Linked DNA regions of Drosophila melanogaster. Each later gene encodes a partner of the first gene's protein in a complex. Each region holds a gene or a part of one and is shown in the gene's direction. Other genes may lie near its edges.

The links. Proteins that work in one complex are often made in the same cells at the same time.
Region 2: msd1 (region 1) and dgt3 share a complex: the UniProt entries of both Drosophila melanogaster proteins name them as parts of the augmin complex.
Region 3: msd1 (region 1) and dgt4 share a complex: the UniProt entries of both Drosophila melanogaster proteins name them as parts of the augmin complex.

What each region holds. Positions count from the first base shown.
Region 1 is NT_037436.4:1,329,744-1,333,082, forward strand, and holds msd1 (mitotic spindle density 1), read left to right. Parts: upstream 1-2,000; 5' UTR 2,001-2,038; coding exon 2,039-2,075; intron 2,076-2,130; coding exon 2,131-2,510; 3' UTR 2,511-2,583; downstream 2,584-3,339. Other genes in the region: ND-ACP (NADH dehydrogenase (ubiquinone) acyl carrier protein), read left to right, coding at 398-547, 1,120-1,206, 1,299-1,427, 1,537-1,716; msd5 (mitotic spindle density 5), read right to left, coding at 2,609-3,339. UniProt on the Drosophila melanogaster protein: As part of the augmin complex, plays a role in centrosome-independent generation of spindle microtubules.
Region 2 is NT_033778.4:20,991,569-20,996,565, reverse strand, and holds dgt3 (dim gamma-tubulin 3), read left to right. Parts: upstream 1-2,184; 5' UTR 2,185-2,242; coding exon 2,243-2,260; intron 2,261-2,311; coding exon 2,312-2,640; intron 2,641-2,702; coding exon 2,703-3,065; intron 3,066-3,126; coding exon 3,127-3,792; intron 3,793-3,851; coding exon 3,852-4,029; intron 4,030-4,093; coding exon 4,094-4,237; 3' UTR 4,238-4,290; downstream 4,291-4,997. Other genes in the region: Prosalpha3 (proteasome alpha3 subunit), read right to left, coding at 535-1,120, 1,258-1,463, 1,573-1,575. UniProt on the Drosophila melanogaster protein: As part of the augmin complex, plays a role in centrosome-independent generation of spindle microtubules. The complex is required for mitotic spindle assembly through its involvement in localizing gamma-tubulin to spindle microtubules.
Region 3 is NC_004354.4:4,111,684-4,115,636, forward strand, and holds dgt4 (dim gamma-tubulin 4), read left to right. Parts: upstream 1-2,017; 5' UTR 2,018-2,252; intron 2,253-2,380; 5' UTR 2,381-2,544; coding exon 2,545-3,111; 3' UTR 3,112-3,245; downstream 3,246-3,953. Other genes in the region: Nsun2 (NOP2-Sun domain family, member 2), read right to left, coding at 1-1,784, 1,862-1,921; Tip60 (Tat interactive protein 60kDa), read right to left, coding at 3,246-3,246, 3,319-3,531, 3,637-3,953. UniProt on the Drosophila melanogaster protein: As part of the augmin complex, plays a role in centrosome-independent generation of spindle microtubules. The complex is required for mitotic spindle assembly through its involvement in localizing gamma-tubulin to spindle microtubules.

The sequences.
Region 1 (3,339 bases):
TGCTTTGAAACGTCAGTTCGGTGCTCCAGACTTTAAAAATCTCGTTAAAGTCGTGCCCAACTCACAAAAGAAGATTTCAGCTAACGTTACTACTGAAATTCATGTGAATTAATATACCACTAACAATTATTTAACTGTAAATTATAGTTGGGAAAGTTACTTACTCATTATTCAAGTATTAAGTATTTTTAGTATTTATTTGCGTAAGTTGAGAAACAGCTTAGTACATTGCGCATACGGTCACACTGCTACCTTGCTGTCTTTTTCTTGCTCCAGCACTTTTACATAATCTTGAAAACTCAGCGTAAATATCGCCCAAAATACGAGACCTGCACTCGTGCACCGTCTGCAGAGATGCGATACTAACCCGCTGCGTTTCCGTTGCAGGAGAACCGAGATGTCGTTCACACAGATCGCGCGCAGCTGCAGTCGACTGGCGGCCACTTTGGCCCCAAGGAGGGTCGCCTCCGGCATTCTCATCCAATCACAGGCCTCCAGGATGATGCACAGGATCGCCGTGCCATCGATGACCAGCCAGTTGAGCCAAGTAAGCGAACGTCCAAAGCGGTCCCTTCCGTTGCAGGAGCCCCAATCGCAGTTGAGGACCTAACCTCATCGCAAACGGCGGGGTTTCGTGATCTACGAGTTTCAAAACATTCAATTAAGTGCTTGCAATCATGAACGCAACAGAAGATCCTCGCCATGTGGCCGTCGAACCACCCAATTCGATTGCATCACATTATTTTGCATAAAACATGATTGTTTCCCTATCGCACACACACACACATACACCTGCAACACCGGTGCTCGCACTTGTGTGCGGTTGATTGTACTACAGTGAAAATCCTCTAGAAGTGACCTTAAAATGTAGCGGTTTTAAAACATGTGATTTCAGTTTGTTAAATATCTAAATATGTTTCCACGCCAATCCAAGCAATAGTTTTCGCGGTATTTAATCAGTTGATCATACACCATCGAACCACCCTCGTTTAAATTGCGTATATATTTACACTGCTCATTGAAGAATTAGCTAAGTTGTATGCACCATAAGTCGTAGATGAACTACCAATGCAATTATTCATATAGAGACGAAAATTCACTAGACATTAACATTCGCAGAAGTTCGGTGTGCGCAGCTACTCGGCCAAGAGCACCATCGAGGACATCAAGTTCCGCGTGCTAAAGGTTGTCTCCGCCTACGACAAAGTGACCGCCGAAAAGGTAAAGTACCCATTGCATGGCGCCACTAATCCGGTCTTTGTTTCCTTCCTTTTTTTCTCGGGCCGGCCAAAAACCAGGAGTGCCGTGGTCGCTGGCAAACGCAATTGGTGCGCAGATACTCGGCGAAACCGCCGCTCTCGCTGAAGCTGATCAATGAGCGCGTCTTGCTTGTGCTCAAGCTCTACGACAAGATCGATCCCAGCAAGGTAAACGCCACATATTGCCTTTGCCAGTGCAATGGTCGCCTCAGAAATCAGAACTGAACAAAGCTGATGAAACCTTTGAATACCCAATGCTAATGGCTCGCATTTACAGCTCAACGTTGAGTCGCACTTCATCAACGACTTGGGACTGGATTCCTTGGACCACGTGGAGGTCATCATGGCCATGGAGGACGAGTTCGGTTTCGAGATCCCCGACTCTGATGCCGAGAAGCTGCTTAAACCTGCCGACATTATTAAGTACGTCGCCGACAAGGAGGATGTGTACGAGTAAATTGTAATTGTAATGCAAGCCATTGAACGGATTACACTTAAATTTAAATAGAAAACAAGTCAAATACAATTTGATCAACTGAATAAACCAAACGTTAAATTAACTTGTAGTCAGCAATTGTACACGAGGGCTATAATTAACTGCGGAATAGCAGCTAATAAATTAACTATCCAAATAAATAAACGAGTCATTTAGTACTGGCGGTTAAATTTAAATTTCGATAGAAACGTTGGTCTTTCGATTGTTTTAGAAAGCCTTGTGTATTTTAGATACGCAGCGACGGTCACGTTAATCTGCTAGCATTACAAACAGAATATTCGAAATGTCAGACGCTGTGGACAAAATGTTGGCGGGAATGGGTAAATATATCTTTAAACCACCGACACGCGTTCTATTCCGTGCTTCCAATTTCAGCGGCCAATCGGCAGACCATGAACCGCCAGCTGGCTAAGATAGACGAGATAATGGAGCGGTCGAACAACACATTGCTCCACATCGAGTCCAACAGCAAGGCATTCAGTCAGAATGTGGCTTTGTCGGAGACCCAGAAGATGTACAACCTCAGGCCGGAGGCTGAGATGACCCTGTCCAAGATCCTGGAGAACTTCAAGCTGCTCATGTCTAGCAGTGACCAGCGGGAGGAGACATACAGCGCTCTGGAGGGCTGCCTGGCCTACAGGCATCGCGTGGAGCACCTTGGCAGCTCCGTGCGTAAGCTGGTGGCGCTCTACGACACCGTGGGCCAGATGAAGAACTCACAGGAAGAGCAGTATGCCAGCGAGGATTCCCCCTAGCTCATCCATTTTTAGAATTTATTATTATGTTATAGTTGAAAAATAATTTAAATAAATTAAACATTTGATTTGTATTTAAAGCTCTTTAAGCGAGGTTTTCAAATCATGGCCATATTGTAGCTGCTGACTTGGAGAAGCGTATAGGTAAGCACCTCTACGAACATCTCCAGGCGAGCGGCAAGACTCCCGGTGGCGAGTATCTCATTGGGATTGGGCAGCTGGAGGCTGTTGGAGCGCAGGTAGTTGAGCTGTTCCATATTGGCGGCTATGGTCAGAAGCTTCTCCTGCTGCTCGGATGTAAAAGCATCTGGCGGAGACTCACCGCCGGTTGGCATGAGCTTTTCCAGCTGCTGCGCAAATCCATGGAGCTGCGTCAGCTTCTGCTTGTATATGGATTCTGTGGTGTCCAGAGCGGCTGCCTCGTCGTAGATCTTGGCCAGCTTTCGCTGGAAACCCTTAAAATCATTGTACACGTCCACGGCACTGCGCTGCTCCTCCAGACGCGTCAGACTCAGCGAAACGTTGGATGTGTTGATGCCCATGGCCACCGACTCGTCTGCTCCTCGCAGGAGCGTTGAGTTGGTACGTTGTAGCTCCCGCTTCTTGGGCATTTTCTGCAGGTTGGCCGGGTACTCTTCCAAGGTCTTGAAGAGCTCCGCATAGTCGGCTACCGAGCTAAGATCCCTCGGGGGCGTAGTGGCTGCTGCCTCCTCCTCCATCATCTGCTGCAGGCTGTCAAAGAAGGCCCCCGGTTTCATCACCGTCTTGGATACGCACACGTCCTTTAGGTTTCTCACATGTTGCGCGTACTTTCTGTACAACTTGGATG
Region 2 (4,997 bases), on another chromosome or scaffold:
TTGCGCCTAATGGGGGGAATTTGCAGATTTTGTTATTGCATAAAGCGAGAGAGCACGGTGAATATTTAACAACCGTGCGCCTATTTAGCTCTAGGCTGCTTGCAACTTTCTGTGGCACACACACACACGCGCGCTCATTGCCTGTTTGCTGCGTATGAAAAATGGTTTTCCAATCCGTATTCACCACGCGTTTTGCGCGCACTCTCCAATTACGCATAAGCCCCTTTGCAGAAACCGATTAACCGTTAGTTTAGCAAGTATAATTGAATTTTTTATAACAGCAACAGCAAATAAAAAGCGACGGAATTTTTCTCAAAATGTTTTGTACGGTATTTTTTTAGTGACTGCCCGTCGCTGGCCATATTTAGCAGCTCTTCGCTGCGAATGGCAATGGCACTGTTATCGATTAATCGGCCATCCCTATTGGCACAATGATAGTGGGTTTTTGTTTTTTGAAATTTTATTTCACACACTCCGTACATCGGTTACAAAAATCAGGATAGACCCTTAATCAATAATAATGCATCCTTGGGATTACTTGGTCGGCTGCTTCGCTTGCTTCTCCTTCTTGGCAGCCTCGGCCTCCGCCTGTACCTTTGTGTACTTCTCGATCAGCTTCTCCACATCGGGTTTCTCCAGGACACTGTATACGGTCTTATTGTCCACACGCTGCAGCGTGGCCATCTCGACCTTCTCCGGGGTCAGCTTGGTGGTGTCCAGGGTCATGCTCAGTACCTTGATGGCCAAATCCTTGGCGTCCGCCAGCGTCAGCTTCACGTTCTCCTTATCGGCCAGCTCCTGCTTCAGCATGGAGATCGCGGCACCGAAGTTGTTGCCAATACAGGTGGCCTTCCATCCGCCGTAGTTGCCGCTGGGATCCGACTGGTACAGTTGGTAGCCGTACTTGTTGTCCCATCCCATGTAGAGCAGCGAGACGCCGAAGGGACGCTTTCCGCCGTACTGAGTGTACGCCTGTTTGATGTCGCAGAGGTGCGACACCAGCTGCTCGCAGGGAATCACCTCGCCGTAGCTGAACTGGTAACGCTGGGCAATCAGACGCAGTTCTGAGGTCAGCACATTGGCATCGGAGGTGATGCCAGCCACCGAGCAGACCATGTTGCTGAGGGAAAACAAAGAGGCTTGGATAGAGATAGATTCGTAGAGAATGTAGTGGGTAATTAAGATCATGGCCAGTTAAATATATGGCCTGTGACCCTTGAATTCATCGTAGGATATACTACTGAAATTTCAACTCACTCGTTCAGGCGATAGATCTTCTCCGAAGGAATGGCGCTGTCCAGCAATTTGTTTGTGCTGCGGCACTCGGCTGCCAACAGGATGCCGTCCTCGGCGAGGATTCCGAGGCAGGTTCCGGCGTGCGAGATGGCCTCCATGGCGTACTCCACCTGGTACAAACGGCCCTCCGGCGAGAAGATCGTGGTGCGGGAATCATAGCGGCGAGCCTGGGAAAATACACGCAAGTCAATTACTACCACGATTGCTAGCCTTCAATGGTCATCGGCCCAATGGTGGCTCTCAGACCAATACCGGTCTTCTGGGCGCGGTACTTACCATTGCTAAGGAATATACCAATTTACAAGTTTATTTTGCAAAACGAACAGAATTTACTTGTCATTCAGTGTAGGGTTGCCAGACTGCCACACGAAGTGCGTCCAAAGCGGTACCAGGGCTGCAAACTAGATGGCGTTAGGGTGTTTCTATTTACCAGGGGTGGTGTGCACGTTTATCCACATATCGATATAAGGTATTAAAATCATTTTAACAAAGATCAATTTATAAGCCCTTTAAGATTGAGGTGTACTAAAACATAATATTTACTTGAATTAAACTTAAGAACTTGTGTCAAATTTAGAAAAATTGTATCCTTACTTCATAGCAAAAATTTAAAATAATTCATATATAAAATATATATATATAATAAACAGAAATTTATTATATATATATATATATATATATATATATTATATATATTATATATATATATATATATATATATATATATTATATATATTATATATATATATATTTAACAGAAATAGATAAGAGTAAATATTTCATGAAATCGTTGATAGGAAATCAGGAATTTCTACGATTTTTATTAAGCTTAATTATTAAGCACTATTTCCTGTTAATTTTCAAAAGGTACCATCTCTAGTAACGTCTCTGAAACCTTTCGATATAACCGATAAGTAATCAGCTTGTGTTGTCATTTTTTTAAAAGATGGGCGATCTGCTGAGCGTATGTGTGATGATTTAATTAATGATCAGCTTATAATCGCCATGATTGCAGAACTCGGAATTCTTCAAGAAGCTGGGAGTGGACAGCTCGAACCAGTGGATTCTGTACGATGAGCAGATGGAGATGTTCTTCAAGTTCCTGTCCGGGAACATCACGGATGCAAATATCCTCACAGAGCGACAGGTTCTGGAGCGGGAGGAGATGCAGCGGCGGGGCGAGTGGCTAAGTGCTTCGGATCGCGAGCTCAAGCTCCTGCAAATCGAGGCCGAAAGTCCGGGGCTTCTCAACTACAAGCAGCAGGATGTCGACGCCTTGACCATGAGCATTGAGGCGATCGAAGATGCCTCAAGGGATTATGCTACGCTTCTGGAAGATATGATGTAAGGGAAAAACTGTAACCTTCCTCATATATGTTCGATCGATGGTCAATCCACTTTTGCAGGACCACAAAGCACTCGATAACTAAGCACCTAGGCGAGGTGGAGTGCGTCACCGCCGAGTTGCAACTGAGGGAGAAGGATCTGATAGCCGAGTGCCAGTCCAAAGCCAAGCAACTGGAGGAACTGCAGCAGGAGAACTGCCGGCTAAGCGCCGAAGCCAAAAAGGCATTCACCGCCCCACAGTTGCCGCCTCTATTCATGCATCAACTGCCATTGGAGCAGTATTTCCACAAATGCGATTCATTTATGCAATACTTTACTCTGTATGTGAAGGAGAATTTTAAGATCCAGGACTATGATGAGTTCCAGAGCGCGGAGGAAGATCTTGGGCGCGAAAAGGCCAAGCTGGAGGACTTGGAACGTGGGTAAGCACAAAGGTTCTGTGCTAAAAACAATGCACATTAATTGATATGACCGTTTTTACAGCATCCAGTTTTATGCACTATCCTACATAAGAACAAAGGCCAAGGTGAAGGCCACGCAGTGTCTTATTGACCAGTTGGATCTTGGCAAGATTCACTGCCTCAGTTTAACGGACATGGCGCGTGAAATGCACGATCTGCAGCTGCTCAACGACTATCAACTGAGCAATACACACGATACGCTTTTAAACGATCTAACCATTCACATTCAGCAGCACACCCAGCGACGTATTGAGCTGGTTCTCTACGAGAACACTAAACTGAAGTTGGAAAGAGCTGTTCGACGTCATGAAAGCGACAAGAAGCTCACTAAAATCATCTCAGATGCTCTGTCCAATGCGGAATTGCTGTGGATTGCGATCCAACTGGACTGCGACAAGAAGCGCAACTGCCTGGACACTTCGGAGGAGTTGCGCGACCAAGCGCAGGCCACTTGGCAAAGAATCCAGACCATGCGCTCCATTAACGCCAGTTATCAGGGCATTTGTGCCCAGTTTGTGCAGGAGATTGCCAATTTGTTGTCAGCCCACTTGGGACAGAACATAAAGGCAACTGAGGCCAAGGCTTGTCTCTTCGAATACGAAAAGTTCGGTCGCCTGCTGTCTTACTCCTTTCAGAGCATGCTGAACCGAAAGTCGTGTGCTGCTGTTCAGGATCAACTGGCAGAACTGTAAGTTGCAATACTTAACTTTGATACAGATCGTTTAAGCTATTAATATTTTTTTTTAGCAAGCGCTTGGAGCAGACTTTGCGGCCGTTTGTCTATGATTCCCCATTGGAGCAGCCCATGTTTGAGAACGTTCGCTACTTGAGCGCCATATACAATGTCACCCAGCAGCAAACTCGCCTGGATGAGTCAGGGCGTTCCTTGCGAAAAGATTTCCTGGAAAATGTCGTGGGGCGCATTGTAAGTATACTAATTAACTATAAAATCATGGAATATAACATTTTAATGTTGTTTATCCTTTTAGGAGCGGGATAAACTGTATCGCTATAGCGTAGTCCTGTGGATTTGGTTTCTCACTGAGCCGCAGCGCATGATGCATGCAATTGATGAGGTCAAAAAGGCAGCCGCTGCAGTAATTCGTCCAGGTGGTGGTCTGCACCGCAAGTGAACTTAGTTGATTTAGAATCTGGTCAGTAAATAAATGTTAAATTATTCAAAAATAAACATTACGGCGTTGCTAGTCTAATAATAAGTCAATACACTAAATTTAGGGATGCTGTATAATGTGTGTATGTAAAGATTCTTAGGCAGCAACATGATTTACTTTTGCTTACGACTTTGGTAATTGTTTTCCCCCCTTTGAAATGCCTTTTCCCTGGGCTATCAGATTTGGGTTCACTAAACACCGGGCGTATTAAGGCAGCATCGTCTTAAAGCAGTCTACACGAGTGCCACCAAAGAGACGCATTAATTGCTGGCGGCACGCGACGGCGTTTCCAAGCGATTACCATTCAGATTTGGCCAAGGAGCAACAAGTGAGGCCATAAAACCTTGTTCGCCTAACCTAGAGATTCACTTTCCGTGCAGACGAAGTCATTTGCCCGCCGATTTGCAGGACTCTCATTGGCTGCCGGCATTCGGGCTGCAGGACGAGTTTTGCCGAGCAGAGGTCCTTGCGGATATAAAAGGACCAACAGTTGTGGCCACTGGTTCACTCGATTATCGTGCTTCGGGCCATCTTTCCCCTCGTGACTTCCGGTAATACAATTGGATAAAGTGAAGTGTTTGTGCAAAGTGTGTTTTTTTAGTCAAATAAACCTTAAAAAGTGCTTCTACAAAACATTAAATATTTGGACTGCTTTAAGGACTTTAAATTTAAAGGAGTACAGCAAAGAAGTGGAACATTTTAAAGCTTTAAATGGATAATT
Region 3 (3,953 bases), on another chromosome or scaffold:
TGAGTCGACGGCGGCTGCGTGGGATCAGTGCAATTGAGCATCATTACCAGGTCCTCCCGCTCCACCTGGATTCTCCTGCTGGCGCCCATGAAGGCATTGGAGGTCTGGAGGCCCTCCTGGGCCAATCGGAAGGGATGCACCGTATGCCGGTTCTCGCAGCGCACGAATGTCTTAACGCCCGTGTTGATGATCTTAATGTTGTTTTCGTTGTTAAGCACCAAATCGCGGATGGGTTCAGAGCAGTAATAGATGTTCTTCTTTTTCTCCGTGACACAGCGAGTTAAGAGACATCGTTGACTAAGGGATTCGTCCAGCTGGTAGAACTCCTTGATCGCCTGGTAGTCAGGATCATTCTCGCCGAAGAAGACATAAGGATCTTCCTTGTAGCCATGCAGACGTCGCTTCTTTCGCTGCGGTCCCCACGGAACGGACTTCTCCTCGATGGGCTTGCCATCCGCGTCCACTTGCGGCTCAGCTGCAGGCTGCTTGGCCGTCTCGTTCAGCTTTACCAGCTCCACCACATCGTTCTTTTCGAAGCTTAGCTGACGACGCTTCTCCAACACGGCTACAAAGAAGCCGCCGCTGTCCTGGAGATGCGGCAATACGCGGAGGCACTTCTCCAACCCGATCTTGGCCATCTCGTCGGCCGGCAGAGGGAACATACCGGGCCGTATTATAGTGTGCAGGCTTTCAGGCACTTCCTCAAAGCGGGTAAAGATCTGGTCCACCTCCTTGGTGGCCAGCTTCCAGTCGGTCATGCCGGGCTTGTACTTAAGACCTGGCACCAAGTGCCCCGCATCCACCAGCTCCAATGCACCGTCGGCATCCTTTATGATCCGCTGCAGCACCGCCTCGTTCTCGATGGGATTCAGTGAGCAGGTGGAGTACACCAGCCTTCCGCCAACCTCCAGCATCTCAGCGCCACGACGTACGATGCGGTATTGAATGCCGTGGAGGTTGTAGGCCTGTGCCAGGTTCCACTTCAGCCAAATGTCTGGATTCTTGCGCAGTGTGCCGTCGCCGGAGCAAGGTACATCGCACAAGATCTTATCGAACTTAAGGATCGCCTTTGAGCCGTCCGGCTTCGTGGTCACGAGATTGGGAAAGACACTGCTGTCGTGGTTGGTCACCAACAGGCAGGGCGAGTTTAGACGCTTGGCTTGGTGAACCAGCATGTAGCACCGATTGTTGTCTACATCGTTGGCCAGCACAAAGCCGGGCGGAATCTTGTGCTCCTCGGGAGCAGCGTGCAGAGCCTCAATGAGCTGGGCTGTCTTCGAACCTGGCGCAGCACACATGTCCAAAACTTTGTCCGTGGGTCGGACATCCAGGACAATTGGCGGGATCATGGATACGGCCTCCTGCCTGCTGATGCCGCCCGCCGTGGTCTCCACAATTAGGAAGTTGTGCAGCCGGTAGAGCGGCTCCGAGCGTCGAATGTCCTTGCGGGTAAGGTGCAGCTGGTAGGCCAGTCCGTTTGGATACCACGGCAGGCACAGCGGACGTTCCACATCCTCGGGCGCCTTCTGGTGCAGCTCGGCCACCGCCCTCACATACTCGGTGAATAGCTGCGTCTCAATAATGGATAGCAGGGCTTTGGCCTCGTCCTTGAATCCTGTCACACGGAAAGTAGTGGGCAGATTGTCCCTGATGGAAGCAAGGAACTGCGTCCACTCCTCATCGGTGGCGCAGATCTTCTGCAGTTGGTAGTACTTGATGAAGAAGGCATTATCCCTTTTGATCTCCTCATACGGCTGGGCCTGACGATCGGTGCGCTTGGGACCCTTTAAGATAAAAAATATATTTAAGAATAAAATCCAAAAACGTGGAATGTTTCTCCTTTCAAATTGAGGTGACTCACATTCTCCCGCTTTTGACGTTTGCGAGCCGCGAAAAAATTTTGCTTCTGGTTTCGACCCATTTGTCAATATCAATACCAAGTTATCAGTCCACTGAATATGTTTAAAAAAAATTAGGCAAGCGTTGTGTGTTTTCTAAACGAAACGAATAGTTAAAACGTGTTCGTCGCCTAACTGGCAACGCTGTCGCGCGAGAGTCGCCGGACATTTGGTGCTTGGAAGGGAAGGTGAAATATGCTGCTAAAGAAGTGAAATTGAATTGAAAGGGAATTACTTTTTACAGTACTTGGTTTCCGTGCTGCAAGGAATTGACTTGTTTTTAAACGTTAACTTCATTTGCATGGCTTACATTTTTAGCCCCAAAATCAATAAGAGCTGGTTTCCCAACTATCGGTAAGCAAAATCAAACAACTTATTTCAGTTTTCTAGAAACTTTAAAAACCTGTTAGTTTATGTAAGGAAACCTACATATCTTGTTGTTATTTACATTTTCGAATTATTTTCATTTTTTTTTTATATAGTTATTAATAGCCAAATTTGACTCGAACATAGCTACGCGCCTATCGTTACAAAAATCTCCGTTAGCCGACTTCAAATGCTACCGATAGCAGCTGCGAAAGCGATAGCGTCGGCAATCGAATCCGAATTTCCCACTTTAAAAACTAAGAAGTTTTTGTAAGCCACTATGGAAACTCCACCCACTCCCACCACGACCACACCGCCATCATTGACAACTGAGGGCACCATGGACGACATCCAATACCTGCTGCACCTGGAGGCGATGCGCCGTTTTCAGGAAGACAGCCGCAATGTAAAGCGCCAGGTGGAGGAGCAAGTACGCATTTGGCTGGACGCCAAGTGTGAGTATCAGCGGGACTTTGGGCGGCTGGCGAGGCTCCTGAAGTGCGGAGCCCTGCAGGCGGCCGTGGATGCCCATCGTGTATCTGATGTGAATCAAGTCGACCAGGCGGCCAAGGATATCGCTAGTTTGCGATCCAAACTGGGCAGTGATCTGCGTCCCGCCATTCTGGACTCCAACGATGTGAAGCAGTGCCTGGAACATCTGAACACCACCCACAAACCGCGCCTAAATCTATGCCGGCAACAACGGGAGTTCGCCCAGAACCAAGAAGCTCTAAGAAGTTTGCGTACCGCCGTCGATGGATTGGAGAATGGTATGGAGATGGGCATGATACAGGCAATGGACCGCCTTGTGGAGGATCTTCTCCCACCGCGGGAAACAAACAACTAGCCGGTCGTCTCAAAAGTATATATAATATTGTATGATATAAACTAGTTTATAACATTAAAAACGGAAACTGTAAATGAAAACTACAAGCTACAACGAAGCCAGGATCATCCGATGAAGAATATTGGTAGCGGAAATCTAAAAACAAAAAAAAACGGATTCAAAGCTGTTTAAACTCAGTTATTTATACGGAGAAGATGAGGAGATTACCATTTGGAGCGCTTGGACCAGTCTTTGGGTGTCCAGTGCAGGCATTTCGAGTCGATGCGGATCTTGCGCTTGTCCATTGCTCGCCGGTGTTGCTCGATGATAACCCGGTTGATGCACACGATGTACTGGCCCTTGTAGTAGTTGATCAGGTTCAGGTTCTGCAGCGTTGAGATCACGTCCTCTTTTTTGATGGATGTGCATTCGCAGATGTCGCTGTGAAGAAAAATTTTGGGAGCATGATTAATCTATGTTTCGGCAATGAAGCACAATCTCTGTGGATTGAAAATTGTATTACTTTAAGCTTAGAACTAGCCATACTTTATAGTTATAGTGGGCTTTTCGCCGTCCGTGCTCGGGTTTTGGCTGATAAAGATCTCCAGTATGGTTTGCGCCCAGTACGATCGATAGGACAGCAAACCCAGATCAGACAATGGTTTCTCCGGCGATCCCGTCTTGCCCTCGAACTTGGACAACTCGTAGCTGAACTCAATGAGCAGCTTGCCGTAGCCCTTGCGCTGATACGGAGGCATTGTGAGAATGCAGGCCACGTTGTAGTCCTCTGTGCTCTCCTTCTCCTTGGAGAAGTACCCTACTATGTGGAAGCCGCGCGAGTCGAACTCTGTCATTACGTAGAA